Drosophila melanogaster: one gene and its partners. The gene in region 1 interacts genetically with each later gene. Each region holds a gene or a part of one and is shown in the gene's direction. Other genes may lie near its edges.

The links.
Region 2: of Fur2 (region 1) and trk, changing one enhances a phenotype caused by changing the other (phenotypic enhancement), as found in Drosophila melanogaster (one study listed by BioGRID).
Region 3: of Fur2 (region 1) and Pgant4, changing one suppresses a phenotype caused by changing the other (phenotypic suppression), as found in Drosophila melanogaster (one study listed by BioGRID).

The regions. Positions count from the first base shown.
Region 1 is NC_004354.4:16,371,524-16,382,591, forward strand, and holds Fur2 (furin 2), read left to right. Parts: upstream 1-1,562; 5' UTR 1,563-1,664; intron 1,665-1,698; exon of another isoform or gene 1,699-1,900; intron 1,901-2,106; exon of another isoform or gene 2,107-2,311; intron 2,312-3,017; exon of another isoform or gene 3,018-3,237; intron 3,238-3,402; 5' UTR 3,403-3,532; coding exon 3,533-4,336; intron 4,337-4,401; coding exon 4,402-4,506; intron 4,507-4,568; coding exon 4,569-4,826; intron 4,827-5,129; coding exon 5,130-5,264; intron 5,265-5,324; coding exon 5,325-5,484; intron 5,485-5,544; coding exon 5,545-5,848; coding exon of another isoform or gene 5,849-5,852; exon of another isoform or gene 5,853-5,899; coding exon 5,900-7,123; intron 7,124-7,183; coding exon 7,184-7,371; intron 7,372-7,440; coding exon 7,441-7,597; intron 7,598-7,665; coding exon 7,666-7,940; intron 7,941-8,038; coding exon 8,039-8,324; intron 8,325-8,398; coding exon 8,399-8,598; intron 8,599-8,664; coding exon 8,665-8,952; intron 8,953-9,014; coding exon 9,015-9,238; intron 9,239-9,303; coding exon 9,304-9,744; and 2 more. Other genes in the region: nonA (no on or off transient A), read left to right, coding at 1-24; CG9992 (uncharacterized protein), read right to left, coding at 10,735-11,034. UniProt on the Drosophila melanogaster protein: Furin is likely to represent the ubiquitous endoprotease activity within constitutive secretory pathways and capable of cleavage at the RX(K/R)R consensus motif.
Region 2 is NT_033779.5:10,266,761-10,276,374, reverse strand, and holds trk (trunk), read left to right. Parts: upstream 1-4,050; 5' UTR 4,051-4,165; coding exon 4,166-4,873; 3' UTR 4,874-4,918; downstream 4,919-9,614. Other genes in the region: Utx histone demethylase, read left to right, coding at 263-391, 453-678, 746-926, 988-1,248, 1,309-1,441, 1,507-2,210, 2,270-2,409, 2,493-2,912 and 3 more; Mulk (Multi-substrate lipid kinase), read right to left, coding at 4,919-5,926, 5,981-6,101, 6,163-6,260; CG4957 (uncharacterized protein), read right to left, coding at 6,502-6,612, 6,667-6,762, 6,825-6,999, 7,056-7,414; CG4953 (uncharacterized protein), read right to left, coding at 7,949-8,392, 8,448-8,576, 8,639-8,951, 9,075-9,462, 9,523-9,565.
Region 3 is NT_033779.5:3,468,122-3,479,694, forward strand, and holds Pgant4 (polypeptide N-Acetylgalactosaminyltransferase 4), read left to right. Parts: upstream 1-4,481; 5' UTR 4,482-4,681; coding exon 4,682-5,181; intron 5,182-5,240; coding exon 5,241-5,583; intron 5,584-5,648; coding exon 5,649-6,077; intron 6,078-6,146; coding exon 6,147-6,809; 3' UTR 6,810-7,217; downstream 7,218-11,573. Other genes in the region: Pif1 DNA helicase, read right to left, coding at 1-776, 829-1,773; CG31776 (uncharacterized protein), read left to right, coding at 2,093-2,559, 2,613-2,955, 3,016-3,438, 3,545-4,204; thor, read left to right, coding at 10,495-10,639, 11,064-11,272. UniProt on the Drosophila melanogaster protein: Glycopeptide transferase involved in O-linked oligosaccharide biosynthesis, which catalyzes the transfer of an N-acetyl-D-galactosamine residue to an already glycosylated peptide.

The DNA.
Region 1 (11,068 bases):
TTAAATTGGTTAATTGTTTTATGATTAATTCGGGGATATGGAACTGCAATGAGCTGAAATGAAAAGCTTTGAAGATTTAAAAAGTATTAAAACATATAAGCATAAAACCCTTTCAAATAAAAAAGGTTGTATCCAAATGTTCTAAACAAAGTTCTTTTGATCGTAATAATCATTCTAATAGCTTCGTTTTATCGCATTATTTTAGTAAATTTATTTGATCTAACTCGTATCTTATTTAACGGTATCATTCAACAGCTGTTTACCTATGCTACCACCAATCTGGCAACACTGCAAAACCGATCTGAAAACATATTTTTACGCAAGTCAAACTGGCACTTGAATCTATAAATAGCAATCAAAAAGAAAGCTAATAATTTAATATAGGTGAAAAACAGGCAATTTATTTTTATTTATTTTTATTTATTGTTATTTATTGTTACGCAAGTCTAACTGGCATTAAAATCTATAAATAGCAATCGAATAGAAAGCTAATAATTTAATATAGCTGAAAAACAGGAAATTTATTTTTATTTATTTTGGAAACATTCATTTTTTCTATTTCTTTTATGCCGAAACCCGCTCGATTTGATACGTTTTTTCGTATTTCCGGCAACATAAAATAAGTCAGCGATAAGCGAAATTGAAATAAATAATTTAATTTTTATATTACTTCCAAGGCCTTTTTTATTACAGTGCACTTCCAATTTGCGTCTGCTTAAGGTTTGTGTATTACTTCCCATTGGAAACAACCATAACCTGTCCTAACCGCTAATAATTGTTTAATGGTGAAGCAGATATTAAAAAGTAGCGCGTTGCCTTCGCATCTGTTTGTATTTGCGAGCGTGTTTGTGTAGCGATACCGGGGCTCAAGATGCATATGTATGTACATACATTTGGGATTTGCCAAAATCTTTGGCTTAAATACATACATACAAGCAACCAAACATTTATGGGGGATTTTGTGCGACTGGATTCATTTGTTTTTCGGGTCACAAAAAAGCGGAAAATGGAAACGCTAATCTCGGCTAACCAATAACAACGAAAACCTTGCGCTACCGCTAAATGTTATCTCTTGTTTGAATGTCAGCGCTTAGAGAGCGTCTTCGCACGTATGTATGTACGGTACAAACATACGTATGGATGGATGGATGGACAAGCTTCCAGCGGTTTGTGTGTATGTATGTACTTGGCTTGCACGAAAGTTTCAGTTTCCTATCGAAACACGTCTTAAATGTGTATTTATCATCGGCTGTGGTACGAAATGCACGTCGGTGTATGCGTGCGTACGTAATAGTTGATATTTCTCTTTTTTTTTATTGTTACAGCACGGTTGCGTGTTATGTTTTGCATTTTGTTTTGAAAGCTCCGAAAGCTGTGCTTTATGTAAAAACATACGTACACTTGCCAATGTACGAATGTTTGATTGCACGATTGTATGTACGTACGTTTGTATGTTCGTTTGTACGTTAATACTTGGCGTGTGTTTGTGTATGCGGTTAGCACAAATCCAGCGAGAAAGAAACAACCAACGTTGGCTATATGTATTAACTTCAAAATAAAGTTCAGTTTAAGCTGGAGCGCAGTCGAGGTTGCGTCGCTTGTTCGTTCGGTCGGCTTTTTGGTCTTTCGGCTTTCGGCTAGTTCCTATATTGTATGTACGCATGGTAAGCATGCGTTCTCTTTCGCTTTTCAAGTCTCAGTTTCAGTTTTCAGTCTGTTCGATTGCGTTTGCATAGCATTGCATTGATTTAACAATAGCTAAATAAAGCTTAAAGAGTGTATCTGTGATTTATTTCTAAATGTGACCGCTTTGAGCCAATTTGTGCATAAATATGTATGTACATATAATGCTTTGGATTACATGAATCGCTATTGCCATTTCTGATGCACAATGATGTATGTATGTACGCAAAGAGCATACGAATGCATGGCTTGCATTACGTGATTTCATACATCTGTGGGTGTATGTATGTATGCACCATCGAAATGGCAACTCTTACGCATAAAAATTGCAAATGTGTATAAAGCCCCACGGACCCACACAGCCACATAAACATTATCGGACGCAAATGTATACATACAAAAAAAAGTTGGCTTGGTGGCTTAATTGTTGTTGTTGTTTTTTTGTTGATAGTGTGCACACAGTGCGAAATTAGTGTGATTAAATGTGGAGATGTGTGATTTAATAAGCATGTGGGAAATACAGCGAGAGTGATTGAGATGGAAAATGGGAGATGTACAAGCTGAACTTGCCCAGAAACATGTATACACACGTACATATGCATACGTTTGTAGGATTATGCTCGGCAAAGTGAAGTATTTCCTTACAAGCAAACACAGCCATATATGTATGTTTCTTTTTTTAAACGAATGGCACAGTAAAACAGAGACCGGAATAGATGTTGTCTGTACATATGATACTGTTGATATGATACCATAGCCATAATTTAATAGCCTTTTCATGTAGCATATGCGTCTAGCTATGCAATATCGGGCATGCATAACTGCATATCCTATGTACATATGTATATCGAAATATGGGATAAACATATCACTTGACTAACACATATGCATACATGCATACATACATACACATGTACTCATTAAAATTTAAAGATGCGTGCACAAATTTAAACATTGATAATATAAATTTATATGCAGCGCCGTGTGCATACATACATACATATATTATTTTCTAATTGGAAACGCGTTGGCAATGCCTAATTGGTTTGATTATAAAATTAAATTTCTTCATTTGGTCGCAGGTTTACGGTAACTCTCTGATTTTTAATAGGGTTTTCATATAAACAAGCGGGGTTCGATGAAGTGATATCCCCGGTTTCCCGTTATTTGTTTATACCTTTTTTTTTTTGCTTTCAATTGCTACTGAGTTCAGTATAATGCTATTTCAATAAATAATAATGTTAATTCAATTTAAAAGCTCGGGTTCCGTAGTGGTGAATATGTTAATTAGAAACATGATTAGAATGGGCTAATGCATAATTCCCCTATTGCAGACCCACTGCATCTTACACTTCGGGGGACTTTCTGACCGAAAACAATAGAATCAAATGACATGTGGATACACATGTGCATAGATACGTACATATGTATGTACAGAGATATGTACATATATGGCTTACTCATTGTTAACACTTACCTGTAGTTCCCCCCAGGTGATTCTGTTGTGTCATCCGACGAACAATGGATCATCGCAAATAGGCACTTCATTAATAAGTAAGCACAAACCGTTTCGGCCATAAATATCTGTGATATATGAATCATTTTGGCATCTCTGGTTATAAAAAGCCCACGTTTAACCGGTCCAAGGTTTTTATTTGGGTCTCTCGCACAACACAAATTCAATCTACAATTGAAGTGCTTTTTCGTGTTCTCTTGCAGATACTAGATCGTGAGATACGAGATCAAAAAAATAGATTCATGAGTACGACAACAGGAAAGGGAAACGTCGCAAAAGGACTCTTCGGGAGAATCAAACTACCTTAATACCATTAGCTAAACTTAGTTAAATATGTCAAATACGACGAGGTCCAGCCGAGTTACCATCGGTAGAATTGGAACCACGCCACAGATCACAGATCCATGGTCGTCCGGCTTGGAGAAGCAGCGACCTTCCCGCTGTGGAGGCCCCAAATCTCTCGCAGAGCCAACGTACCGAAAGATCGGACGGCGAAAGATGATGCTCCATATGCGAGTCCATGACCCTGGAACGACTGTAACACAAAGAGCAAAAGAAACGGCAACGGCAAAACTCAATAGAATCTATTTATGTACATTTAACCGAATGGCACAGAGCTGTATATATTTTGTATTATTTTTAGTAATCCTAAGCCCAAATACTAGTTGTGCTCTACGGAGTAGTGCGGGTGAGACTCAGAATTATGTCGGAATACTCAGCAACGATAGTGCAACGACCACATATGATGTGTCGTCCCTGCACAGCAGTAGAAGAACAAATCCCCCATCATCATCATCATCATCATCATCGAATGTTGATGTTGATTATCGTAATGACAGAGAGCTCCACAAGGTCGACCTGGTTGGCCTGGGAGGTGAAAGAGCGGGTCAAGCTGAGACCATTAGCGGCGGCAAATACGATTATAACTATGAAAATACTCACACAAATGCCAGTGCGAAAGATGAAATTGTTGAACGGCAGTCAAATAGCCTCGACTTCGACGGGGTCGATATGTTTGGCGCCTTCAGCATTCCGGAAGAGGCGATATACACAAATGAGTTCGCCGTCAACATTCCAGCTGGCAAGCAAATGGCAGATGTTATAGCTACCAAACATGGATTTATCAATAGAGGACAGGTGAGAATGTTTGTCCAACGCTGCAATGGAATTGGTGCTCATACAATTTACTTAATTTTTCATAGATTGGATCGCTGGACAACTACTATCTGTTTCAGCATCACCATGTATCGAAGCGTTCGCTGCGCTCTAGTCGCAAACATCAGGGCGCCCTTAAATCAGAGAACGAGGTGTGTACTCTCTAAAAAAGTATCCAGTTGGAGCAGAGATTTCAATCATGATTGCCTTGCAGGTGAAATGGATGCAGCAACAGCACGAGAAGGTGCGCCGAAAGAGGGACGGCCCGTACCAGGACTTACCCACCTACAGTCCGTATAATCTTTTACGCCAACACGGCGGCTACGTTGTCGATCCGAATCCGCATCTTTCATTCTCCCCAGAATCGATTTCGTTAGCCTCGCACTCACAGCGCATGGAGTACCGGGATGTCAGCTCGCATTTCATCTTTCCGGATCCGTTGTTTAAGGAACAGTGGTATCTGGTGAGTAAAGTATGTAATCATCTCTCATTTAAATGCATGCTTCATGAATCCATATATATTTTATAGTCCATTAGTCTATTAGCTCGATTCTCTATACCATCAGCGTAGTTTCCTTTGAGACGTTCAATCGATTGCTACTAACCGTGTTAGTGTTGATTTTGTTGATTTCGAAATATTTTCTTTTCATTTAACATGCTTTATTTGTAAATGTTTGGATTTCTTTGTTGATTGATTGCCTATTTTTTGCTTATCTCTTCGCCAATGTCATGTTTAATAATCAATTTGTAAATTCCCACAAAAATCGCTTTGTAGAATGGCGGCGCCAAGGATGGCTTGGACATGAATGTGGGTCCCGCCTGGCAAAAGGGCTACACCGGCAAGGGCGTGGTCGTGTCCATTCTGGACGATGGCATTCAGACAAACCATCCCGATTTGGCCCAAAACTATGTGAGTATCCCAACAAAAAAAAATCAATGATCAATTGTTAAAAATACTATTTAAACGCAGGATCCCGAGGCCTCTTTCGATATAAATGGCAACGATTCGGATCCAACGCCCCAGGACAATGGTGACAACAAGCACGGAACCAGATGTGCCGGCGAAGTGGCCGCGGTGGCTTTCAACAATTTTTGCGGAGTGGGAGTGGCCTACAATGCCAGCATTGGTGGTAAGTGATCATGGTTGATATGTATTAATTGCAAACCATCTAAGCTGTTTGTGCTATTAGGAGTACGAATGCTGGACGGAAAGGTCAACGATGTGGTTGAGGCCCAGGCATTGAGTCTTAATCCGTCACACATCGATATATACAGCGCTTCCTGGGGACCGGAGGATGATGGCTCCACTGTCGATGGTCCTGGTCCGTTGGCCCGCCGAGCCTTCATCTACGGAGTGACCAGCGGACGACAGGGCAAGGGCTCGATATTCGTTTGGGCCTCTGGCAACGGTGGACGCTACACTGACTCCTGCAACTGCGATGGCTACACCAATTCGATCTTCACCCTTTCCATTTCGAGTGCCACTCAAGCCGGGTAAGTTGACAGGATGTAGACTTGGATTCTGATTCAGTAATGTTGTTGCAGCTTCAAGCCCTGGTACCTGGAGGAGTGCTCCTCCACGCTGGCTACCACCTACAGCTCCGGAACGCCGGGACATGACAAGAGCGTCGCCACCGTCGACATGGACGGCAGCCTGAGACCCGATCATATATGTACGGTGGAACATACGGGCACCTCGGCATCGGCACCACTGGCAGCCGGCATTTGCGCCCTGGCGCTAGAGGCCAATCCGGAATTGACTTGGCGCGACATGCAATACTTGGTGGTGTACACATCAAGACCGGCGCCACTGGAGAAGGAGAACGGATGGACACTGAACGGTGTTAAGCGAAAGTATAGCCACAAGTTTGGATACGGTTTAATGGATGCTGGAGCAATGGTGTCACTGGCGGAGCAGTGGACATCGGTGCCGCCGCAGCACATCTGCAAGTCGCGGGAAAATAATGAGGATCGCAAGATAGATGGTGCATACGGTTCCACCTTGTCCACGCATATGGATGTCAATGGGTGTGCGGGCACGATCAATGAAGTGCGTTACCTAGAGCATGTCCAATGTCGCATTACCCTACGGTTTTTCCCGCGAGGAAATCTTCGCATACTGCTCACCTCACCGATGGGCACCACCAGTACCCTGTTGTTTGAGAGGCCGCGCGACATCGTCAAGTCCAACTTCGATGACTGGCCCTTCCTGAGTGTTCACTTTTGGGGCGAGAAGGCGGAGGGTCGCTGGACACTGCAGGTGATCAACGGCGGACGCCGGCGCGTCAATCAGCCGGGCATCCTGTCCAAGTGGCAGCTGATATTCTATGGCACTTCCACTCAGCCCATGCGGCTCAAGTCCGAGCTGCTGAACAGCAGTCCCCAGTTGCGCAGCCCAAGCAGCTCCAATCCGTTCCTCTTCCCATCGGCCTCGAACATTGGCCAGCCTGCCAACGAGGGTGGGAACTTCAATACGGATAGCTTTGCCAGTTACCTCAACTATCAGAACATCTTTAGCAGCGCTGGCTCCGATCCGGAACCGGCAACAGCTACATTGGACGGTCAGAATGTGACCGCAGCGATTGCTGGCGGCTCGTCGGCTGAATCCCTTGGATTTACCGCCTCTGCTGCTCAACTGGTAGCGGCGCCCGAAACGAGGGATGGCGACAAGAAGATCCTGCACTCCTGCGATGCCGAGTGCGACTCCTCCGGCTGCTATGGCCGTGGACCCACACAGTGCGTTGCCTGCAGTCACTACCGCTTGGACAAGTAAGTGGTACCAACATGCGCATTTGTGGAGCTCGGGTGCTAATGGTTTTCTGTTTACAGTACTTGTGTAAGTCGCTGCCCACCGCGTTCCTTTCCCAACCAGGTTGGAATCTGCTGGCCCTGTCACGACACCTGCGAAACGTGCGCCGGTGCCGGACCCGACAGCTGCCTCACATGTGCTCCGGCCCACCTGCACGTCATCGATCTCGCCGTCTGCCTGCAATTCTGCCCGGACGGATATTTTGAAAGTAATAATCTGGCTTTGTTCATCAAAAATTTGCTATTGTTAAACAATTATTTCTTTGTACTCTCCACAGACAGCAGGAATAGAACTTGCGTTCCCTGCGAGCCCAACTGTGCCTCATGCCAGGACCATCCCGAGTACTGCACTAGCTGTGATCACCATTTGGTTATGCATGAGCACAAATGCTACTCGGCCTGTCCCTTGGATACGTACGAAACGGAGGATAACAAGTGAGTAAACATATATTTGATTAGCTCTCAATAAGAGCTTAATTTGTTAATCACATCGCGTTCAATAGATGTGCCTTCTGCCACTCGACTTGCGCCACCTGCAATGGCCCCACGGACCAGGACTGCATCACGTGCCGCTCGAGTCGATATGCCTGGCAAAACAAATGCCTTATTAGCTGTCCGGACGGATTCTATGCCGACAAAAAACGTCTGGAGTGCATGCCCTGCCAGGAGGGATGTAAGACCTGCACCAGCAACGGAGTTTGCTCCGAGTGCCTTCAAAACTGGACGCTAAACAAGAGGGACAAGTGCATCGTGAGCGGCAGCGAAGGCTGCAGTGAATGTAAGCTCATCCATAAGCAAGCAGTTTATATCCTGGCTAATTTGCCAAAAATTGCTTGATTTAATGTATAATTTGCTGACATGCTCTTCATCCTGCAGCTGAGTTCTACAGCCAGGTTGAGGGACAATGCCGCCCGTGCCACGCCTCCTGCGGCAGCTGCAACGGTCCAGCGGATACCAGCTGCACGTCCTGCCCGCCGAATCGACTGCTGGAACAGAGTCGCTGTGTTAGCGGCTGTCGCGAGGGCTTCTTCGTGGAAGCGGGCTCCCTATGCTCACCATGTCTGCACACGTGCAGCCAGTGCGTCTCGCGGACAAACTGCAGTAACTGCTCCAAGGGTCTGGAGCTGCAGAATGGCGAATGTCGCACCACCTGTGCCGATGGGTAAGCTGTTAAGATTGAATTACCACCAGTGTCCCGGAGCTGCAGCTTTCAATGTGTGCCGTATATCATTATAGATACTACAGCGATCGTGGCATTTGCGCCAAGTGCTATCTCAGCTGTCACACCTGCAGCGGACCGAGGCGCAACCAGTGCGTCCAGTGCCCGGCTGGATGGCAACTGGCCGCCGGCGAATGCCATCCCGAGTGCCCCGAGGGCTTTTACAAATCGGACTTTGGATGCCAGAAGTGTCACCATTACTGCAAGACGTGCAATGGTATGATATACTGTCAATCTTCTAGCATGGTGGCTAATGTGTTTCCCCAATATTTTGCTTTTCCAGATGCTGGACCATTGGCGTGCACGTCGTGTCCGCCACACTCGATGCTCGATGGCGGTCTGTGCATGGAGTGCCTGAGCTCACAATATTACGATACGACGTCGGCAACATGCAAAACGTGCCACGATTCGTGCCGCTCCTGCTTCGGACCCGGCCAGTTCTCGTGCAAGGGTTGTGTGCCGCCGCTTCATCTGGACCAGCTGAACAGCCAGTGTGTGTCCTGTTGTCAGAATCAAACGTTGGCCGAAAAGACTTCGTCAGCGGCGTGCTGCAATTGCGATGGCGAAACCGGTAAGCAAATAGTTTATACGAGCTGCAGGATCTAATATAATTGAAATGGAAACTGTTTTCAGGCGAATGCAAGGCTACCTCGACGGGTGGCAAGCGGCGCACGGTTGTGGGCAGTGGTAGTGCGTACAAAAGCAGCGAATCCAAGCACGGATCCTTCGAGAACGATGGCAATGCCAGGGAGTTCGTCCTGCGACTGGACTCTCCGCTGACGGCAATCACAGCCATAGCTGTGGCCATATGCCTGCTGATCATAACAATATTCTCCATCATCTTTGCTGTTTTACAGGTAAGAAACTGGACTAAAGGTAATTGAATATAATTTCAAGTTCAAGTTTCGTACTCTTTGTCCAGCGCAACAGCAACCATGTATCCAGAAATTCAGTGCGATATAGGAAAATAGCGAACACGTCGTCGGGCAGGCGAAAGAACTTGTCCGCTAAGCCCACCAGCGATGCAAGATTCATTTTTAACATTGGCGAGGACGATGATACAGATGGTGATAATTCCGATGACGAGTTGGACGGCAACGTGGGCACAGATATAAACAACAGGATCGTCTACGACCGCAAAGGCAATGATCATGGACACGAATTTTACATTGAGAGTACAAATGATATTGATGCGATCGAGTTTCACTGCAATGGAGCCGGAGCCCAGAAAGCAGAGACCCAATTACAAAGGTGCAATGCGAACGGAGATGATGATGATATTCTTCATTACGATAGGCATACGAATGCGGAACGAAAAAATCATCCTTCCTCAACCACAAGCCGTACAAACATCCGTAGCTGATTGATTGATCAATGGACGACGCGACAGCGAACGTAATTGAACCAACCAACCAACCAACCAACAAACCAACAAACCAACCAACCATCAAGAACTTTGATCTTGGCTTTCTTGCTCTGGACTAGTAAATTGTAACCTTGCTTTGAAGGAATATAGCGAATCGAAATATTTAACATCTGAAAATGATAAAAATTTATATGTGATTGTGAATTGTTTTTATATATATATTTGTAAATTTAATGTTTGTATTAAATTTTTATGAAAAATGTTATGTCAAGTTGAATGATGACAGTGTCTTTTTTTTATTGTTCCCAGCCATATCTTTTCTATTCAAATAGGGAAGATAAAAATGGTTAAGAGAGAAAAAAACCAAAATAAATTTTGATCGATTTATTGGCAAACATCCGAGAACAAGAGAAAATATCGCTTTCGATACAACAAAATTAGTCTTAGGATTTATTGTTTTTAGTTTAATAAATTTTTTAATAAATGTAAACAATTTTTAAGTATCTGAACCCATTCTTCTTTTGTTATTTATCGTTGTTATTTGTCAAGCATATTTCTGCGATGCACGTAAATGAAAGGGAAGGCATTATTATTATGGTTTTCATAACATTTCATCTCATTTGTTGAATATTTATATTTTCAGATTGCAGTGCATCCATCCATCCCAGTGAAATGCAGAGTTTCGGTTGGTAGAAAATGTTTTATTTACAAAAATAGAAAATATCTACATATTTAAATATATATGTGTTTCGATCACTTATTTCAATATTCAAGCCAAATTATTGTAGCCATGTAGTTTTGGATTTCAGAATTTTCATAATGTTAGTTTTTCCTTGTAAATCATTAGAAATTCGTTAATACTTATGTCTTCTTCTGTCCTATTTAGCTGCGTACGCTAAGTATACAAAATCGAATATATATATTTTTACATAGTTGGCTGAGAGGTATATTACATGGACGCGGATCCGTATTTAAGATGCGATCCATTTAAGATATAGTACAGTCGCAGCACATCAGTGAGTAGTACAAGCATTTAACGACTTTCTCATCGTTGTCATCGTACTCCTTGCGATTCAATTTGGCCTTGTCATTGTCATAGCCTAACGATTTGGCATCCAACTGGTCGGCGGCCAGGCCCTCCACCTTTTTGGACATCTTTCGCTTATTCGCATGTATCAGTTCGTTGGTGTTTCGCTGTCCCACCATTTCGTCGATCCAATCGAAGTCTGTGGCGTTTCCCTGAAACCTGGTTAAACTGGAAATGGTTTCGATCGAATTGATATCCTCCTGTTTGTGCAAAAAGAATTATATAGTTATAATT
Region 2 (9,614 bases), on another chromosome or scaffold:
ATTATAAACTTTTGCATATAAGTTTCATGTGTAATTAAAACTGTGATCTGAAAAGGTTTTTCTGTTCTTCAGTTATTTACTTATCATCTTAAAATGTTATCTTATTATTGATATATAAACAACTTATATGCAAAAAGTCCTCATACATTGAATTATCAAGTAATACGATGAAGGCAAACTTCTATGATTCATTCAGAATTTAAATATTTTGCAGTACGTTCACCCCGTGTCTTAAACTTTATTCATTATTAATACTTTGCAGTCAAATTTCAAATCGCGCATTTGTACGAAGTTCAAAACAAGCACAAGGCGGCAAAGGATGGCTACGAATTTCTTCTAAATGAGAAAAACATCTCCTTGGAGCTCAAAGCAGATGTTTATCGACAATTAGGTAAGTTAAAAAGTTATATTTTAAGCTGGTAGAGACATAACTTTTTATTGAATCCTTATAGGATGGATGTACCATTGCGTAGAATGCCTAGGCGAAAAAAAGGAACGTGAAGCAAACGCATTAAATTTTCTACAAAAATCAATCGAAGCTGACCCAAAGAGTGGACAATCATTATATTTACTAGGAAGGTGTTACGCCGGCATCAATAAGGTTCATGATGCTTTCCTAGCATATCGCAACTCGGTGGAAAAAAGTGAGGGGAATGCTGATACTTGGTGCTCAATCGGGTAAAATAACAATGAATGTGTTTAGCTTGGCCCCTATCTTATTTGTATTCTACACATGCACTTCTAGCGTCTTATATCAGCAACAAAATCAACCCACGGATGCCCTTCAAGCCTACATATGTGCTGTGCAACTGGATAAAGACCATAAAGCCGCGTGGACCAACCTGGGTATACTTTATGAGAGCTGTGGTCAATTACGAGATGCCTATGCTTGCTACTTAAATGCAACCAAACAAATATCATTCCAGGTAAATTTATATATGCAATTGTAGCCATTTCCAATACCTAACACACTTGTTTTGCTTGAAGAAGTCTTCGTTAATTCGAAAAAAACAAGCAATACGTATGAAAAAGGACACAATTGGACTGTCGAAAGGCCTGTCTCAGAGAATCACTTTCCTGGAGGGCCAGCTCAGTCAAGCACCATTGCCAAGTATTACATCCAAGCGCCGCCAGCTGTGTTCAATCGAAGAAGCTTGGAACCTGCCAATATCATTAGAAATGAACTCTCGCCAACAACAAACAGCGCAGATGCTACCAAGACAGGTCACAAAGCAAAGTCCAGTACAGGTGAATTCCTTAATCCTAAACCAATCAGTGGGCAATCAACTAAATCATGTTTTTAAACAGGGACCGCCACCACCTTATCCGCATAGCCAACTCAGCCAAAGTCCCATACCTTCGAAACGTATTAAGGAAGATGGCACAAGCCAACAAGAAGTAACACAAAACAACAGTCAGACATCAGCGCAAAATCTAATAAGTAAGTGACCAATTTAAATAGTATATATCTTAAAGTATTAAATCACTTTTTAACACTCCAAACAGACATTTCGGAATCTTTAAACCAGCGCAACTTCAACGCCATGCCGGAGAGCAACAAAAGTTCGGAGCAAAGTGTTCTTGACACCTTCGACGACATCTCGAATGATATTTATAAACAGAATGAGAGCATCAAGCTCGAACGTTTGAGCCAGGATGCACTGAGTAACAATGAGGACTCGAGGCATGATTTTATTGGCGGTGACAACGCCGACATCTCGACCACGTTCAAAATACAAATGGACTCGAAGCAGTTGATGGTAGCTGTGAAGCTGCTGCCGATTGATGAACCGCCCGTGCACTGTACCATTTTGCAAGTGAATGCGCCGCCGCCATCTCCGCCCGATTGCCCACCGCAGAAACTGACGCGAGATCAACTCCTGCCTCCCACACCCTCTGTTCATTTAGAAAATAAGAAGCACGCGTTCAGCCCACAGTTGCAGGAGTTTTGCCTGAAACATCCGATTGCCGTTGTACGCGGCTTAGCGGGCGTCTTGAAGCTAGATCTCGGTCTCTTTTCGACCAAAACGTTGGTGGAAGCCAACCCGGACCATAGTGTTGAGGTTCGGACACAAGTGCACCAGTCTCCCGATGAAAATTGGGACACTTCGCAGGGTAAGCGCGTCTGGGCCTGCATTTCCCATCGGTCTCACACAACCATAGCCAAATATGCCCAATATCAGGCATCCAGTTTTCAAGACAGCTTGAAGGTAATGTTCGTTGGGTTGGTTCCTCTTTAACATGAATACAAGTTTACTTTATCGTGTAGCTTATTTTACCGCAGGATGAAAGCGATAAAGGTTTCCCCGGCTCGCAAGCAATGTCGGATTCAGACTCAAAGGACTCGGTATCCAATTCGAACATTGTTCTCAAACGTAAAAAACACAAAATAAACAGCAAAATGTTGAGGTAATAGAAACTCCAAACCATTTATGTCTGCATTACGAACTTTATGAACATAAATTAAATGCTTATTTCGCTTTTTTTTTTAGGTTCGGGACCAACGTGGACCTCTCCGATGAAAAGAAATGGAAACCACAATTAACAGAGCTACAAAAACTGCCAGCTTTTGCGCGAGTTATATCCGCTGCCAATATGCTATCACACGTGGGCCACGTCATTTTGGGCATGAACACCGTTCAGCTGTACATGAAGGTGCCCGGAAGTAGGACGCCTGGCCACCAAGAGAACAACAACTTCTGCTCAATCAACATCAACATCGGTCCTGGCGACTGTGAATGGTTTGCCGTCCCTGACGCCTACTGGGGCGGAGTTCACAATCTTTGCGAGAAGAACAACATTAGCTATCTGCACGGCTCGTGGTGGCCCGTCCTGGAGGATTTATACAAGGAGAATATACCAGTTTATAGATTTATACAAAAGCCCGGTGACTTGGTTTGGGTGAATGCCGGGTAAGCACTGAATATGAAAGGAAGGATGATGTATTAACAATCAAACCTACTTTCAGATGCGTCCATTGGGTTCAGTCGATCGGTTGGTGCAACAACATTGCGTGGAATGTTGGACCCTTGACTGCCCGTCAGTATTCTCTTGCCATCGAGCGATATGAGTGGAATAAAGTGCAGGCCTTCAAGAGCATTGTGCCGATGGTGCATTTAAGCTGGAATCTTGCAAGGAATATTAAAGTGTCTGATACCAAACTTTTCGAGCTGATAAAGTGAGTTAGCAAATGATAGGAATCACCATTATGCAGATACTATAGGGCATACATATGTAATTTGTAATTTTCAGAATGTGTTTGCTGCAAACGTTGAAAAACGTATTGCACATACAAGAGTATGTCAAATCGAAAGGTGTGGAAATACGTTTCAATGGACGCGGAAAGAACGAAGCATCCCATTACTGCGGACAATGCGAGGTATTTAGCGTAGTATTATTAACATATTTATACAGTTTCCAAAGGTGATATGAATGCAGTTTATTTAATCATTTGTGCACTCTTTGCAGGTTGAGGTTTTCAATGTGCTGTTCATCAAGGAGCAGGAGAAACGACATGTGGTCCACTGCCTATCGTGCGCGCTGAAGCTATCTCCGTCGCTCCAGGGAATCGTTTGCCTGGAGGAGTATCGTCTGTCTGAGCTGCAGCGCGTGTACGATTCGTTTACTTTACACAGAACCCAAGGACTAGCATACACTCAGTAGTTGTAATACGAGGAATCATTTTAAGTAATGCAGATTTAATATATGTATATTTTACAACGTACAATATACTCTCTATTGTTTTGATAAAACATAACGGTACGAATATATAGAGATGGGATTTTTCGAATAAAGCCATCAGAGCAGTTTTTTCGGCTATTATGTTTGATAGTCGAAAAAACTGGAGCCCACTTGAGTAGCGAAACTTACCTTATGATGACAATTTTATTATGACTTCAAATATTTAGACCCATCTTTTATAGTTTAATTTAAAAAAAAAAACTTTAAATTTATCCAAAGTTTAGAATGCGTTTTAATTATATATATGAATAAATTTAATTTATAATCTTTCGCAATGACACTGAAATTAAAATCCTTCTTTTTATTGAATTGGCTGTTATTACTTTAGTACCTAAATAAGTTACAGTGTAGAGAGCAACGATAACTGCTGTAAACACGATAAATCAATTGGTTGATATTGGTGTAGCCCTGTTTTTAGCCAGCCATGTTTCTGCGTATACTGTGTCCAACTATGAAATCCCAAAGTGAACTGGCCATTGTGCTCACTTGGTTGGCAGTGCTGGGGACGGCTCAAGATGATGCCGATTACTGCGCCGAGCTATCCACGCAGTCGCTGGCCAAAATTCTGGGACAGGCATTTAATCCGCGCTACATGAGCATCGATCCGCCGGGCGAGCCCGAGGAGAAGAGCTATCATCTGGGATACAAGCGATCGTCGTACGAGCTGCCCTTCTATGCGGACAGTGATGCGATTTCGGTTAGCCACTTTCCCGCCTGGGAGACCAACCACTTTGCGCTGGTAGAGAAGAAGAAGGAGGCACCGAGGAGCAAGAGTCTGCGCACGAGAAGCGCCTTCATGGATCGTGTGGGACATCCGAGAATCGATGGGTTCAAGCAGCGGCCGTGGGAGTGCTCGTCGAAGATCAACTGGATTGACTTAGGCTTAAATTACTTTCCACGCTATATCCGTTCGATCGAGTGTATTGCCAGAAAATGTTGGTATGATCACTTTAATTGCAAGCCAAAATCATTTACAATAAAAGTACTGCGCCGTAAAACTGGCTCATGCATTCGAATAAACGATAAATTGATTTTGATCACCGCAGAGAAGTTTGAGAATGATTATACGCAGCTCTGGATTTGGGAAGAAATAGCGGTTAACTTTTGCTGTGAATGTGTTATGCTATACTAGTAGCGCCATTTAATCAAGATTTAATTAATATACACGTTTAAAATGTCAACAAAAAACTTTAATAGCATTGGGAACAACAGATACCTTAATGGGTCTTGCATCGTACTCCTCGCCATCGATGGAGTAAAACTTCTCGCCCATTTCACCATCCGGATGCAGTTGAATAGTCCTGCTCTTAACCACCAAGCTGGGTAAAATTTTGCTGCACGTGACTTCCGGAATTTGTTTGATAAACTCCCAGCCCGGCTGCAGGGAGCTTATAAACTGACTTTCCAGCTCCGCAAAGTTATCCTTGTTCTGAACACAATTGATGTTAATCTGGCTGGCTTCAGCGCTTCCCTCGAACTTCTTGCTGCAATTGTCGTTCTTGACGAGCGGCCTCTTGGTTTCACCCGGATTATTCTTGTACTTAATGAGGCCTCTGGTGAAGAGGCCAGAAGGCTGGGCGGTCTCCTGGCGCTGCACAGTAGCAGCACAGTCAACGCAGCCAGGACACGGCGGTGTGTACACATAGTCGGTCTTAAGGCTCCAGTTATCGGCAAAGGACTTGGACGCAGCGGAAGCGTAGTGTCGCAGTGGTCCAAAGTACCAGTACTTATCCTTTGCCGCATCGATGTCCTCCAGCAGACCCCAGGACAGACCATTAAGACCGAATATGGGCTTCAATTGGCTATTGCTGCCATCTTCTTCATTGATCACATCAAAGCGGATCACACTCTGGTACTGGCTCTCATCCTTGAGCATAGGTTCAAGGGCTTTCGAAAGACTTTTCACATAGTCGACGTCCTTGACGCCAAAGATGTTGATGCGCTTGGATGCGGACTGCACCGAACGTCCCAGCGGAAGGATGGTGATCGGGCAGAGATTGCCGCGCCTACGCATCAGCCCAGTGACCACCTCCGATGAGGTGCCGTCGCCGCCGGCAACAACAATGGCATCGGGTAGCGTTGCCAACTCCTCCACGTAGGTTTTGGCATGACCAATGTGATTCGTCCGAAGGATCTCCACCGAATATCCAGCTAAATGCAAAACCGGCTCGCAGTAGTTCTTAAACTGAAAATCTATGGCTGGGTTATCATCTTAGTCAGCTGTGTGCCAGCTACTTACAAACTTCTCCGATCTCTTCTTGTTGGCCACCGGATTCATGACCACCAGTACCTTTTTGGGGCGATCCGATATCCAGTTGGCCTGAATGTTGGAGGCGAATTCCCGCATATGTTGTTCAATCCTGGAGAGCAAATAAGGGGGTTAAAGTTGCGTCAAATTTTCACGGTTTTCTGAATGCATACTCGATGTGAGTTTTCAGCGCTTGCAGCGCGTACACAGATACTGCCGCTCCGAACGTGCATTTCTTCCAATTATTCCGAATTACTCTTAAATAATTCATATTTTCAATTTCGACCGATGATTTTGATTCCACATGTATTGGTTTGGCCGCACACAAACAGCTGGATTTTAGATCGTCAAGGGTATTCCAGCCAGTTTACATAAGCTTTAAAATAACAGAAACGTTTAGCGCTGAAACGGGAACACTGAAAATTGCACACTCTGTTACTTAACAGTGTATCTTAATCAGTTAGAAACAAATTTATTTATTCAAGTTTAAACTCAACGTTTTATTCAACAAGTCATTTTTGTTCCACATTGTCATAGATATCCTCTAAGCCTGGGAGGTTTCTCAGTTTTTCTACAAAAACATCATAGGTCTTTTGCTCTTCGGGTGATAATTGCACTACATTCTGAAAGATAATACTATTTAGATAAAATGAAATTGAATGAAATGAATGATTTACCATTGGTGAAAATATGTGTTCACTGTTTTCCACGGTGTATCCGGCTTTTTCCAAGTTCCTACTTAAGCTAGTTAAAACCACTGGACTGCATAGGAACTGTATGTAAATGTAGGAAAATTAATATTTATATAATATAAATGAAAAAAAAGAAAACATACATTGACGGAGCCATCGACATTGTCAACGACTTCGATCTCTTCGGCGCCCAACTCTATAGCATCATTGGTGGCTTTATCCTCCAAACTGGATTCATTTTGAAGTTTCGCAGTATCATAGCGAGTTTCAATCAATCCAAAATCCTCGAATAGGCTTCCAACATCCATGAATTCGCCTCTAAAAATCTCATAGGTAAATTATATCCAACAAAATGATGCAAATTGAGATATTACCCGGCTTTTTTGATCATCGGTGTCGCATCCATTTTAACGCCAGAAAAGTTGTCGGTATAGAAAATGCATATGAGGTACACGTTTCTTTTGTACTTGATGTCGAGTCGGTACTTCTTTAGTTGCACTTTGCTGGCCTTGAATTTGTTTAACGTATTTTGTATGGTGCCACTGGGCATGTTTTGCTTGAGGGCTCTTTCTATTTCCGTTCGCAAAAGGGAGTTAATTGCCGGATCCGCGGAGTTTCCCTCCTGAATGGCCATTCGAATTTGCCTCGAAATTTTTGCAAATAGCGCCGCTCGGGCCCCATCTTTCAGTGCTTTGGTGTGCTTGATATTGGCCCATTTGGAATGGCCTGCCATTCCACGAATCGGTTGCTGGGCTTGGAATATGCATTTTCCAAAATGCGTGGAAAATGTGCACACATTTCGTAACATTTTAAGTTCTAGTGTTGTGATCTAAAAAGTGGACTAGTGTTACCGGCGCAGAAGTTCCTAAAAATCCGTGTTGCTATAAAAAATGTGGTCTAAATTTTCAAATATATTTGATTTAAGTTAAATGGGGTATTTTTTTTAATTTGTTGTGAGAACATGGGGATGTTTTTTATTTATTTAGTTTTTTCGTTATGTGCTAACAAAAGAGAGATCTAACTATCTTTGTACAAGAAAGTATATAAAATATGCAATTGAAATTAAGGATTCCATAATGCACGCAAGACCACACTAAAGGACATTTCAGCAAATTTTCATTAAAAATTTTACCGCCGACTTTTTTTTTATTAAAGTATGGCGTTTTACATAGAGTAACAACATAAATTATAATATCTATCCCGTCACTTAAAACCCCATTTCACATTAACATAAATTTAAAATATACATTTTTGCATCTATTCAATTCTATACAACTTGCAGTTGAACTTGCTTTTGGGTCAAACAGCTTGCAGCACTCTCGTAACGAATTAACTTATTCTGATGAGTTGTGGTATCATTATCGTAATCCGAATTAACAACAAAAACATCGACGACGTTTTCAATGGTGAACTGCTCATTTTGGAGCGTATTCGTCAATACCAAGGGTGTTATTTTCACGAGGCCCAATTTAGATGGACAGACGGACAATGGAAATTCGGCAGATTCGCCACTTTGTAGAAGATTCAGCATAAAATCAGCACAGCCCGTGTATTGACTATCGGGCGAAAACTTGGCAGCCAATCGCACATTCAGTTTCATTGGATGCTCGGATGTGTTCGTCACGCGACAATTGAACGTGAATATCGTGCCGATTTTAATGGTGTTCTTCGCATCCAGTACTTCCAGGCGGAGCGTTTTGCATTCGAATGGCTAAAAAATGAGAATATTATTTGGGATCTATTTTATTTACAACTTGTACACCTACCAATCGCTGTAGCTGACTGGTTTGCAGTCTGCCCTTCTCGCCCAGATTCGACCTCCAGACGATGTCCAGTTTACCCACATTATTAAATTGCCGCAGGGTATCTACATTCTTCGCAATATCTCCTTTGGGCTGCACGCAAGATACGAAATTGTATGAATTTTTTATAGATAAGAGAATTCAACTCATCTCACCTTGATGCAATAGAGGAACTGACAACTATTGTTGGGTTGCAGCATATGTTTCACCGTGAATACGGATTCCCCATTTGGCAGCGTGTTCAGTGGTGTGACGGAGTAGTCCTCGGAGCCATCCAGCTCCACCTTTTCCAGGCAGAAGGGACTGGTGGTCACGTTTTGGATTTGTGCCTCCAAGTAGATTTCGTCGATTTCCGCATTGTAGAACTTGGTTTTCACATCGAGTGGCTTCAGCACTTGGAACTTGAAAAACTTTCTCAGCGATTGAGCATAGCCCGCAGGAGTCGAGTAGTTCACTTCGCAGACGAGACTGAAAGGAATTCAGGATATACAATTAATGATATTATTGGGGCTTCCAGAAGACAGTACTATGTACTGCTTTAGATTATATGGAGGAACAAGCTTGTGGTTGCAACTATCTTGTGCTACTTACATGTGTGTTCCGATTTCCTTCACCTCGTATCGTATCACATCGTCAATGGTTCCACCCGGCGGCAATACCACCGGCGACTTGGCGTTCTCGTGCATGGATAGGTTGATGCGTGACGTGTTCGACTGTAGATCCGCCTTGACGGTGACGCATTCCACCGGATTCGGGGTGGTATTGTGGACGCAGATGTAGCTGGCGAATGTTTCGCCCAGGTAAATGCTGCCGAAGGACTGCGGCAGCAGTAGCACCTGGCCGGCCGCCAAGGTCTCCGCACAGGCACCGGACATTCCGTCGCTCTCCTGGGAGCTGCTAAATCTCTGGACCAAATCCGTGGGCTCGCAGGTTACCACAGGTCCAAGGCCCACCAAAGTGGGCCGCATCAAACGCATAACTAAGAAAACAACAAAAACATCACACTTTGTCCATAATTTGCATTACAACTAGAGTTTACCTTTGAGTGCCACCAAGTGCGCATCCGGTTCAACCATCTCCATGTTGTAAAATACTCTAAGAAGTGCTTAACTTTAACAAAAATAAATCAGC
Region 3 (11,573 bases), on another chromosome or scaffold:
TTGGAAAGGGACATCTCCACGCAGTCGAGGGTTAGTCCCTGACTCTTGTGTATGGAAAATGCCCAGGCTAACTTCAGTGGCACTTGGCGTCGTGTTATATGGTTTCCTGAGGCGGTCTTTATTATCCACCTTTCGTGCTTGCAAACGTATTCCTGGTTGTTTTTGAACCTTACCACTGGCAGATCCTTCTCCATTCTTACAACGACGCCTCGAGCTCCGTTCACCAGTCCATTGGATATGTTTATATTCTTGAGTAGCATTACTTGGGCGTTAACTTTTAGGTACAACTGAGATGGAGCCTGGATCTGTTGATCCAGTGTCCTGGTCATGCTGGCATCGGAGTCGTCAGCCTTGAATAAAATCTTGTCGCCATCGAGGTTTTCCAGCTTGGACTCGTTAATGGAGTTCGCATCGTTTGTGTGGGAGCAGAGTTGAGTGGCCAGAATGCCGTTTCCCTCAATTTTCTGCTTTGATGTAGCTGCAAGTCGACTGGTTATGGAATCGTTCACATGGCCAATTCGGAGGTGGTTCAGAATCTTTACAAACTCCGGATCCGATTGCCGATGCACTTGCTTCAGTTCGTAGACACACTGGATGCAAGTCTCCCATGCGGAGGACTGAAAGCAGAATCGTTGCTGGGGCGTGGCAGTGGGGGCTGCACCAAAATCTCCCTTTATGACCGGAGGCAGTTGCAAGAAGTCACCACACAGGATGAGCTGTATGCCGCCAAAGGGGCGATCATTGCGCCGAATGTGACGTGCGACGGCTTCAATTTTCTGGGAAAATAATTGTTAACACCTTGCTGAATTCAAAGTAAAGATAAAGTACCTCAAAGAACTGTCCGTCCACCATGGAGATCTCGTCAATAATCAACCGCTTGCACTTCCTCCACGTCTGGGCATTTGCGGGTCGGGAAGCCAGCTCCAGACACCGCTGCATGGTGGCGTCTCCTCCTCCTATGCCAGCGAAGGCGTGCAAGGTGGTCCCACCGATCAGGCAGGCTGCCACTCCCGTGGAGGCCGTGGCCACCGTTCCATCGGGCGGCAGGGCTGAGATGATCCTGCGGAGCAAGAAACTCTTGCCAGTGCCTGCTGAACCGGTGAAGAATACGCTCTTGCCCGAGGTGCACGCCCGCAGGACTTCCATTTGCTCCTCACTGAGTCTCAGCGACTCGTCGGTAGTCGACGCATATAGTTTCTTGGCCGCGGGCATGGTGCCCCGTTCCTTCTCCTCCTTGAGCTCCTCGAAGCGACGCTTTTTGGCGCCCTGGGGCGACGGCGTGGTCACTGACCCCTTGGACAACAAACCCGCCTTTTTGCGCGCCAAAATCATCTCGGCCGTGGTGACTGGAGAAACGTCGTTAAAGCTGCTTGGCTTGCCTGACATCAGGTGCTCGCGGAGTTTCTTCTGCAAGGTCGCATCGTCCGGCTGGGATCCTCCCTCGTTTCCGTTCATTTTAACGAAGATCGTCCGCAGGAAGAACATCAAAGTCCCCGGCGGTGCATTCGATAGATAGAGGGTGCACTTCTCCGCCTTGAAGTTGAAGGTGGCCTTGCCCTCGGACATGAACTTCTTGTGCACCATCAGATCCTTCAGCTTGAACTTCAGGGGCTTTAGTTTCTCCGGCGTCACCTCAACAAACAATTCACGCAAATCGTTCCGCACCAGGCGCAATGTGGCAGTCTTGTAGGCCAGTTTGCGACCCGTGATGCCCACCGCATTGGTCCACTCCATGTTCACCGCACAGGTGAGCACTGCGTCATTGAGATCCATGGCGAAATTAACTTCACTTCAGTCAGTTTCCGATTAAATTAAATTAAATACAAAAGCCAAATCTTTTCCATGCGCTTGGTCGCCGATCGGCTTATCGATATCAGCGTAAAATTATCGATATCACATCGGATGGCGTGAACGCATCATGATCGTGCACAAGTATGTTATAAAGTAGCAAAGTTCCACTCCAGGATCAGCTGTGTTACAATTCCGTTACAATTTAAATTGCTACATTTAAGGATTACAAAACAAGTAGGCCAGGAAAAGTAATTTGCTATGCCTATAACTTTCAATTGCACACTAATTAAGAAATATCACCATGAATGTGGATCTGAGATTGATTGTGCGCCTGTTGCTGGCCATTCTATTGACTTCCTTGGTAACTACCATTTTAATGGGCAAGCAGATACACAGAAGACTCGTGAAGTCCATGGTCAAAACAACCGGCGAAAAGGATAGTTTGCCAGCAAGGCAGCTCCCAAAAAGGGAGATCAGCCCGAAGGTCGCAGATTTCCCACCACCACTAACACTGAACCAAACTGAACTGGACATCTTAAAGATCCAGCGAAACAATAGTTTCCGCCTGCCCCAGCAAGAAGCTATTAAGGAGTGGCAGGATGCGATTTTCTTTAAAGAGGATAGTAACCGCAGGGGATTGGGTGAGCAGGGAAGAGCAGTTCAGTTACCAAACGCTAAATTAAACCCCGATGATTTCCAAGACTTCTATGCCGAACTCTCCGATCGCATTCCCCTGAACAGATCCTTGCCGGATACCAGACCTATAAGGTTAGTTCCTATGAAGTTTAAAATACTATACAATTTAAAGACTAAGAACTTAGTTGCCGGAAACGGAAGTATCTGGAGAACCTACCCAATGTGACAGTGATAATAGCCTTTCACGATGAACACCTAAGCGTTTTGCTAAGATCTATAACGAGCATTATAAATCGATCTCCTGTTGAGTTACTCAAGCAGATTGTGCTCGTGGATGACGATAGTAATTTGCCGGAATTGGGACAACAACTGGAAGAGATTGTGGCTCAAAACTTTCCGAAAATTATTCACATACTAAGACTTCCAGAACGACGTGGTTCCATCAAAGCGAGAATGGAGGCAATCAGGGTGTCCAGCTGTCAAGTTTTGGTCTTTCTAGACTCCCACATCGAAGTCAACACCAATTGGGTAATATTTAAAAAGGAATCAATTAATGTGGATAAATCTAGATAATTTCCTACTTTATAGTTGCCTCCCTTGCTGGAACCTATAGTTATTAACCCACATATAGTCACCCGTCCCATTTTGGATGCCATCTCACGCAAGACATTTGCCTATGCCAAACAAAATACGATGACTCGCTCCGGTTTCAATTGGTGGCTTGAGTCTGAGAGCTTACCAATTTTTCCTGAGGATAAAAGTCCTGATTCCACACCCTACCGTACACCGGTTTTATCAGGAGCTATGGCGATTGACAGGAACTATTTCTTGAATCTGGGGGGATTTGATGAGCAGCTGGACACCTGGGAAGCCGAGAAGTTCGAGATAAGTTTTAAGGTCTGGATGTGTGGTGGAATGATGCTGTATGTACCTTGCGCCCGGGTGGGTCACATAGGTAAAAGACCCATGAAATCGATTAGTAGTCCAGGATACCACAATTTTCTGGCCAGGGTAAGTGGAAAAACAACTCAAAACATGGGGGGTGGCGTATACGTAATATATTGTTTAACCTATTAAGAATATTACAACATAATTTAATAAGAGGATCTCTCCCTAGAACTACAAGCGAGTAGCTGAAGTTTGGATGGATAATTACAAAAAGTATGTGTACGACAAGAATCCGAAGCTCTATAAGATGGCCAATGCTGGTCTGCTTTTCCAAAGGAAAACCAAGAGAAATGCTCTGGAGTGCAAGACCTTCGATTGGTACATGACCAAGGTGGCTCCGGATTTTCTTAAAAGGTACCTAGCATTGGATTCGCCTTTGGTTTTCTCCGGGGTCATTGAAAGTGTGGCATTTCCTGGATTCTGTGTGGACTCCCTGAATTGTAGACACACTAAGCCCGTGGTTTTAGCCCGGTGCACTGGGCATAATTCAATGCCCGGCGAGCATCAGAACTGGTCCTTAACGCAGGATCATGAGATTCAACTGACGAACAGCAAAGATGATTGCTTGGAAGCGCAGGGCCTACGCTCAAAGTCGGTGTGGCTCTTTCGTTGTCACAAAAATGGTGGGAATCAGTACTGGTACTACAATCACCGTCATCGGTGGATCCAACAGGGCCAAATATGGGTGTGGTGCCTGGAAGCCCAATTGGCTAGTGGTCATAAGGTTGGCAAGGTTCTGGCCAATAAAATCTGCGATAAAAACCAACTGGAACAGCAGTGGAAAGTTGGGCGAAATGCGCCATATGATCCACAAAGGGAGCCTCATTAATATGTATAGCACAGCAATTATTAAAATAAATATTTAAATACAATTTTAGATACGAATTTTGCCTTATATGAAAGTATGCCTTCAGATACAGATGGCGCTCACGCCAATCCCCAGCCCAGTTCAAAGAGTGCCTGTGCAGATGGCGCCACCATGACGCGCGCTCCGCTAATTTGAATTCGCATGCAGAGATATTTCGTATATTATTGTTCTTTTCGCCCGACTTTTTCTCAGGTGAGTGTGGGATCTGGGCCTGACCTTACACGTCACCGGGCAGCCGACTCGTCTGCCACTGATTGATAGTGGAGAAGCGTGTTTTTTGTGGCCAACTGAAAATGTGAAAACTTCTTCGCCGCCTTATCACTGAGTCGCGGTTTCCCAATTACACTAATGGCTGTGCTTTTTGCCAGGTGGCTGCTCCTCTGCTGCATCGGCATGCCAGCAGTCAGTATTTTGGACTTCCGCCGCCAAGACGTCCACATGGCCATAAAAAAGAGATATGTAAAGCGCCTGTTGCGCAAGGTGGTCCTCCTCTTGGTGGTCATCGTCACTGTGTCCTTGGTCACCACTTTGGTGGTCGAACGGCGAATGAAAAATGCGGCGGAGCTGACGGAACAACTCGATCCGAATGGAGATCCCATAACGCCCGTTTTTAGGGCTGCCAATATACATCCAACTCGGAAAGCGCCACGACCACCATTTCAGGATCGCAACTCCGTGGTAGATATTCCGAGAAGTGACAAACTCCAGGGATTCCGACTACCGGAACCGAAGGGAGAGCGCAAGGATTGGCACGACTATGCGGCCATGGAGGCGGATAGAAAGCGATCCGGTTTCGGTGAGCACGGAGTAGCCGTAAAGATCGAAAATCCCGATGAGAAGCAGTTGGAAAAGGAGCACTACGAGATGAACGGCTTTAATGGCCTCATATCGGATAGAATCTCCGTCAATCGATCTGTGCCAGACCTCAGACTCGAGGCGTAAGTACATTCCCCATAGCGTGTTATCAATAGTTAAAACACTTATCTTATCTTTACAGTTGCAAGACCCGGAAGTATCTGGCCAAGTTGCCCAATATCAGCGTGATTTTCATCTTCTTCAACGAGCACTTTAACACCCTGTTGAGATCGATATACAGTGTGATAAATCGCACTCCACCGGAATTACTTAAGCAAATTGTGCTCGTGGACGATGGCAGCGAGTGGGATGTTCTGAAGCAGCCTTTGGACGACTACGTCCAGCAGCACTTTCCACATCTGGTGACTATAGTGCGCAATCCGGAGAGACAAGGTCTAATTGGAGCCAGAATAGCTGGAGCCAAGGTGGCAGTGGGACAAGTGATGGTGTTCTTTGATTCTCACATAGAAGTCAACTACAATTGGGTAGGATTTTCTAGTAAGCAATATGTTTGGATACAGAAGAATACTCTATGTTGCTATATTTACAGCTGCCTCCCCTGATCGAACCCATTGCCATTAATCCCAAGATCTCCACCTGCCCCATGGTGGATACTATTTCGCATGAAGATTTCTCTTACTTTAGCGGAAATAAGGACGGAGCACGAGGTGGATTCGATTGGAAGATGCTGTACAAACAGCTTCCGGTTCTGCCCGAAGATGCGCTGGACAAGTCCATGCCGTACCGGAGTCCCGTGATGATGGGCGGTCTATTTGCCATCAACACGGACTTCTTTTGGGATCTGGGCGGATACGACGACCAGTTGGACATCTGGGGCGGTGAGCAGTACGAGCTGAGTTTCAAGATCTGGATGTGTGGCGGTATGCTGCTGGATGTTCCCTGCTCGAGGGTGGCACACATATTCCGGGGACCCATGAAGCCAAGGGGCAATCCAAGGGGACACAACTTTGTGGCCAAGGTGGGTGCTACTCTCTAACCAGTTCTACTTTTTTAATTCTAATTATATTTGGTTTTAAATCTCATTTAGAACCACAAGCGCGTGGCAGAGGTTTGGATGGATGAGTATAAGCAATATGTGTACAAACGCGATCCGAAGACCTATGACAACCTGGATGCCGGAGATCTGACCCGCCAGCGTGGAGTTCGAGAGCGACTCAAGTGCAAGAGTTTCCACTGGTTCATGACGGAGGTGGCGCCTGATTTCCTCGTCAAATTCCCGCCCGTGGAACCACCTAGCTACGCCGCCGGCATCATTCAGAACGTGGCCAACCCGGTCTATTGCCTGGACAACATGGGCAAGTCCACCGAGGAGGCGGTGGGTATGTTCAGCTGTGCGGACAATAGGACCCATCCGCAACCGAATCAGTTTTGGGAGCTCTCCATATTCCGAGACCTCCGGATGAAGGGCTTCGATTCAGTGTGCCTGGATGTGCACGAGGGACCGCCGAATGCCACCGTTTGGATGTGGAGCTGCCACAGTCAGGGTGGCAATCAGTTCTGGTACTATGACAGGCAAACCCAAAGGTTGGTTCACGGAGAGAACAACAAGCGCTGCCTGGAGGGATTTGTGGAGAACGGCATAGCCAAGGTGGTGGCCAATTCCTGCGAGAATGGCAACGATCGCCAGCGCTGGGAGTTCGGATTCGTGAACCACACTATGCTGGACACCTTCTACGATGGATTAAAGTAGACTTTCATCCACGAGCCACTAACAATTCGAGTAACCACAGGCCAGATGTCGATCGGTTCAGGTCGGGGACCGCGATCGTCACGGGTTTAGTTCATTGTTCGTTGTGAAGGTTTCTGAAAAAAAAAGTTCGCTAAGTAAATTCCATTTTTCCATTAATTCTTGCCCCATGCATTATTGATATATGGCAGCGGAAAGTGAAAGATCTGGACAGGCAGATCGCAATCGGAGCGAGGATTCTGTCCGATCGCGAGCCACAAACTCTGATCTTTATTTGCTGTACGTACACTATATTTAGGTATTAATGTTTCGAAGAGATCCTCGACTACTTGTAAAGTTAAGAGATCGTAACTATGTGAAATTAAACAATAATAAAAGTTACAAGTGTATTGTAGAATCAATAAATACCTTAAACATTTTCTTTTTATATAATATAGATGTAATCGATGTAGTGAGAGCATCTGTAGTACTTCTTCACTTCCGATTTGAATTTTCGACTGTCGCAAAACCTTATCAGCAGGGCTGTTGACCTTTCTACAAAAGGAGAAAGAGGAGTCGGTAAGAGGTAGCAGACACCAGATAGACTAGAGAAGTTCCCACCCCTCCGAGGTCTGAAGTCCGAGATCACCAAAAAAAAAAAAAAAACCAGACATATTGTTAAGCTGATGTAATTTAAGACGCAGTTGCGCGATTGTCCCAGGAGAGGACGAAGATCGAAGATCCCTGGATGAATGTGGATGGATGGCAGCAGGCAATGACTTAGCGTCAAGCTGTCTCGATCTTGGGCTGGCTTTATCCTTATCTATGCAGTTCATTATCTACCAAACGAAAGCACATGCTAATTTATAGACAACGTGATGTTGTTTTGCTCATTTCCTCCGCATTTTTTTTCTCGTCGCTTTTCATATTTTGTGCATAAACAAAGTCAAGTGATTTGATTTTTTGGCCAACGCGACGGCGACGCCGCTTCTCAATCGGATTCACCGAATGTGGGTCATCGACGTCAGCGGAGATGGGGGTCTTATTTGCTTCGGAAGATTCCCTTTGTTAGGGCAGTTCACTTGTTGATGGGCGTTTGGTAATAGATAACAAAAATGGTCAAGTAGTACTTGTATATCTGCGAGTTTTCTTGGAAACTTACTTACCACTGAATAAAATGTGATTTCCATCTTAAGTAGGATGGGTAGATAATAAGCTATATGATATTCACTCTATAAATAATTTGAATTGGTAAACCACAATACATAGTCCTAAATACCTTTATATTATATTGCAATAATACAGCACATTCATTGATTTGATTACCACGTGTATTTGGCAGAGTATATAAATATCATTGGACTTTTTTGTTTACGTTTCTCATGGTTTTCGCTCTAGCCGAAAAATATAAACAAGTCGATGTCGTCTAGCCCATTCACAACCATCTCAGACTCGTTTGGGAATAGAACCCACCGATGGTAATGACCCACCGTTCGTCCGTATGTTTCACGCAATTCGATGGTGCAATTTCATCAGCCTCCCCGAAAAAGATTTCATCCGAATTTCACTATATATGTACGTATGTATTACCTGTCCCCCGGCGGATGGGAAAAACACCCCTCGGCGCTTAGAGAACCGGCTAGGAATATCTCAAGACGCATTTTAACTTGGCTGCAACGCAGTAGGAAAACTGCCTGCCGTCTCTTTCCTCGCGGCTATAGGCCTGTCTCTCTCTCTTTGCGCAGGTACATCATATTGTATCTGATGAAAACGAAAGCAAAATCCGAACTGGTTTCTTCGAGGGTTGATAAGCCCTAATGGAGGTGGAAAATGCGGAGAAGAGCCGCTCTCTCACCCAAAAAATAAAATATATAAACATATCAGCCGGCACGTAGGGCGGTTTCTATGCTGTGGACTACGTGCTAGATGACACGGCAAAATTGTCCGTGTTTTTCGTGTTCTGGCTCCCTTGTTTACCGTTTACTACTTTGGGGGTCAGTTGGCACCCAGCTAACTCCCACCCCCATCTAGTGTAATTGATGGATTTGGGTCATGCTTTCCCCAATTCAAATATGCTCCTCGTCACATGGAAATCTACTTTCAAGGTCTGTCAAGCTTCCCCATTTAGCCATCATAAATATTAGCACGCTTAAGTATCGACCTTGTGCAGATTTCTAGGTGGGCGCCATCCCCTGTCCCACATCGAGATCATGATCGCCGCAGATCAACACACGTGGCCACCTTTTGTCAACCCCATATCCCTCGGAATGGCCCGTGGCCAATATCCGAATTACGTCGAATCGTGGGCGCCAACGTAGGCAAAAGTTCCTGTAGCACTATTTACATGCGTCCAACGATTAAATATCGTCAACATCGCCCCCGCATAGCTAAAACCGCTCGTGCCGCTGCTTGGATCCACCCTATGCTTGCTGCGATCAGTGGGGCATATTAGTTTGATTCCAAACAAGATATTCCACCTCAAAGAACTTGGGAACTAATAAGGGTTCGATCACCAAATTTGGTGATATGATATATGTATTTCTTTAGATATGTGCGCTAATATTAAACGGCTAAGAAGTCAATGTGCCAAAGAAAAGATATTAAATATGTATGTTTCATATCAGTCAAGTTAAATTTTGATATGAGCTAAGCGTACTTTTGGATTGTGCACTCCTAAATATAGAAATCACGCTAAAATTGCATATCTAAGTAAATAAAGCAAGTAAGTTATGTAAGACGTGTATCTTTTCGTGATAATTATTTCAAAACGGCTCGTGCCAGATAATAATGAACACTTTCCGCCTGAAAAAAAGTGAAATGCTGGGTATCTTTTAGCCCATAAAAACCTGCAATATCGTTGCTCAAATTGCTATGCTCCGCGAGTTCGCACATGCATAGAAGGCACTCATAGCCTACGTCACGATTGCCGGCGACGTGTCTTTATGCTAATTAATGGTATTTCGCGAAAACGAGTGCAAAATAATGGCCCCATGGAGAGAGCGGCAGTACTTCACGAAATTCTGCGGAACACCTCTTGACTCCCAGACAGCCATAGATAAGATCCCAATTGCACCTGAGTCATCATCATTTCCCTAGCAAGATCGACAATAGACTTGGTTTTTAGAAAAGAATGCGATTGGCGTTTAGTGCTGTTGGCTAACTTGTTTACCAATAATATTGCCGTGCATTAAACAATAACAAATGACCAAAGATAAACAAGAGCTCAAGGCGAGAAGCCCCTCAAGACAGCCCCCCACCATCGCTACACCCCTTATCATCTAGAACCTCCGAGGTGTGCAGGCTGCAACAAAAATAAGAACAATAGGGGAATATATTAGAATACGGCAATAACAACAAGAACCAGCCGGTTTGTCATAAACTACGCAGAAAATACACCAGATAAAAACAAAAAACATCAGCCGACCAAGCAGAATAATCAGGCGAGAGAGCAGGCGAAAGAGCGAGAAGAGAGCGAGAGAGAGTAAGAATGGGGGGGTATAAATAGAGCCACACTTCGTAATACCGCCAGCAATCGCCTAGCGAACAGCCAACGGTGAACACATAGCAGCCACACAAGCTCTATAGCTGATACAAGCAACGAAATACAAACAACGCAGTTTGTGTAAACAATCAAATTGTCGCAGCCATATCGAGTGTGCTTACACGTCCAGCGGAAAGTTTTCGAAACCAATCCAATCAATCAGCTAAGATGTCCGCTTCACCCACCGCCCGTCAAGCCATCACCCAGGCCCTGCCCATGATCACCAGGAAGGTTGTCATCTCGGATCCGATCCAGATGCCCGAGGTGTACTCCTCGACGCCCGGCGGAACCCTCTACTCCACCACTCCTGGAGGTAAGTTTCGAAAATTGGAAGCTGAGACTACATCGAGTATTATTAAGTTCCTTCCGGAAAGTGGAGTGATTTTCTTATCATTAGATATGATATCAAGATGAAATTAATCAACATATTTCGAAAACATAAACAAGTATACCGTTTCTTTCCTTTGCTCAAACAACAAACAAGCTTTTGTTTGAGTTGTGATACATTATTTTTGTAAAACTCACTCACCATTTTTTGGCTGATGAAACTGGGCCATCTCGCCGAGTCAGTCAGTTGGAAGATAATCCCGAGCACATGTTCCACAGTTCGTGACTCAGAGTAGCGCGGCAAAGAAGCGTTTACTCAGCTGGCTTATCAGTGGGGAACTTTGAATACCTTTCTGATGCAACGCAGACCACCTTGACTAATAAAAATTTCCGCTTTCCTATAATTCCAGGCACCAAACTTATCTACGAGCGGGCTTTCATGAAGAATCTCCGTGGCTCCCCATTGAGCCAAACTCCGCCGTCCAACGTGCCCAGTTGCTTGCTGAGGGGAACTCCGCGTACTCCCTTCCGCAAGTGCGTGCCCGTCCCCACGGAACTGATCAAGCAGACCAAGTCGCTGAAGATTGAGGACCAGGAACAGTTCCAACTGGATCTGTAGGGGGTGTGGCGTGTACACCGCCATGCAGCAACTGCCAAATCCAACTAGTTCTTAGATGCACCCACTAAAACCGATCTTATAAGCTTAGTGTACCCATTAACTAGATGCTAAGTTCTTAGTTCTTCCACCTTGTTTGTTCTCTCGGTCATATTGACCCCGTTACCTTGTAAAATCGTAGATCTTAAGTAAAATGCAATAAAAAAAAGGCACACATTATTTAAAAGAGAACCACACCTTCCATTGGGATTCAGTAGCTGCCAATTTACAATTATAAATTTTAATTTATGTTTGAGAAATTCAG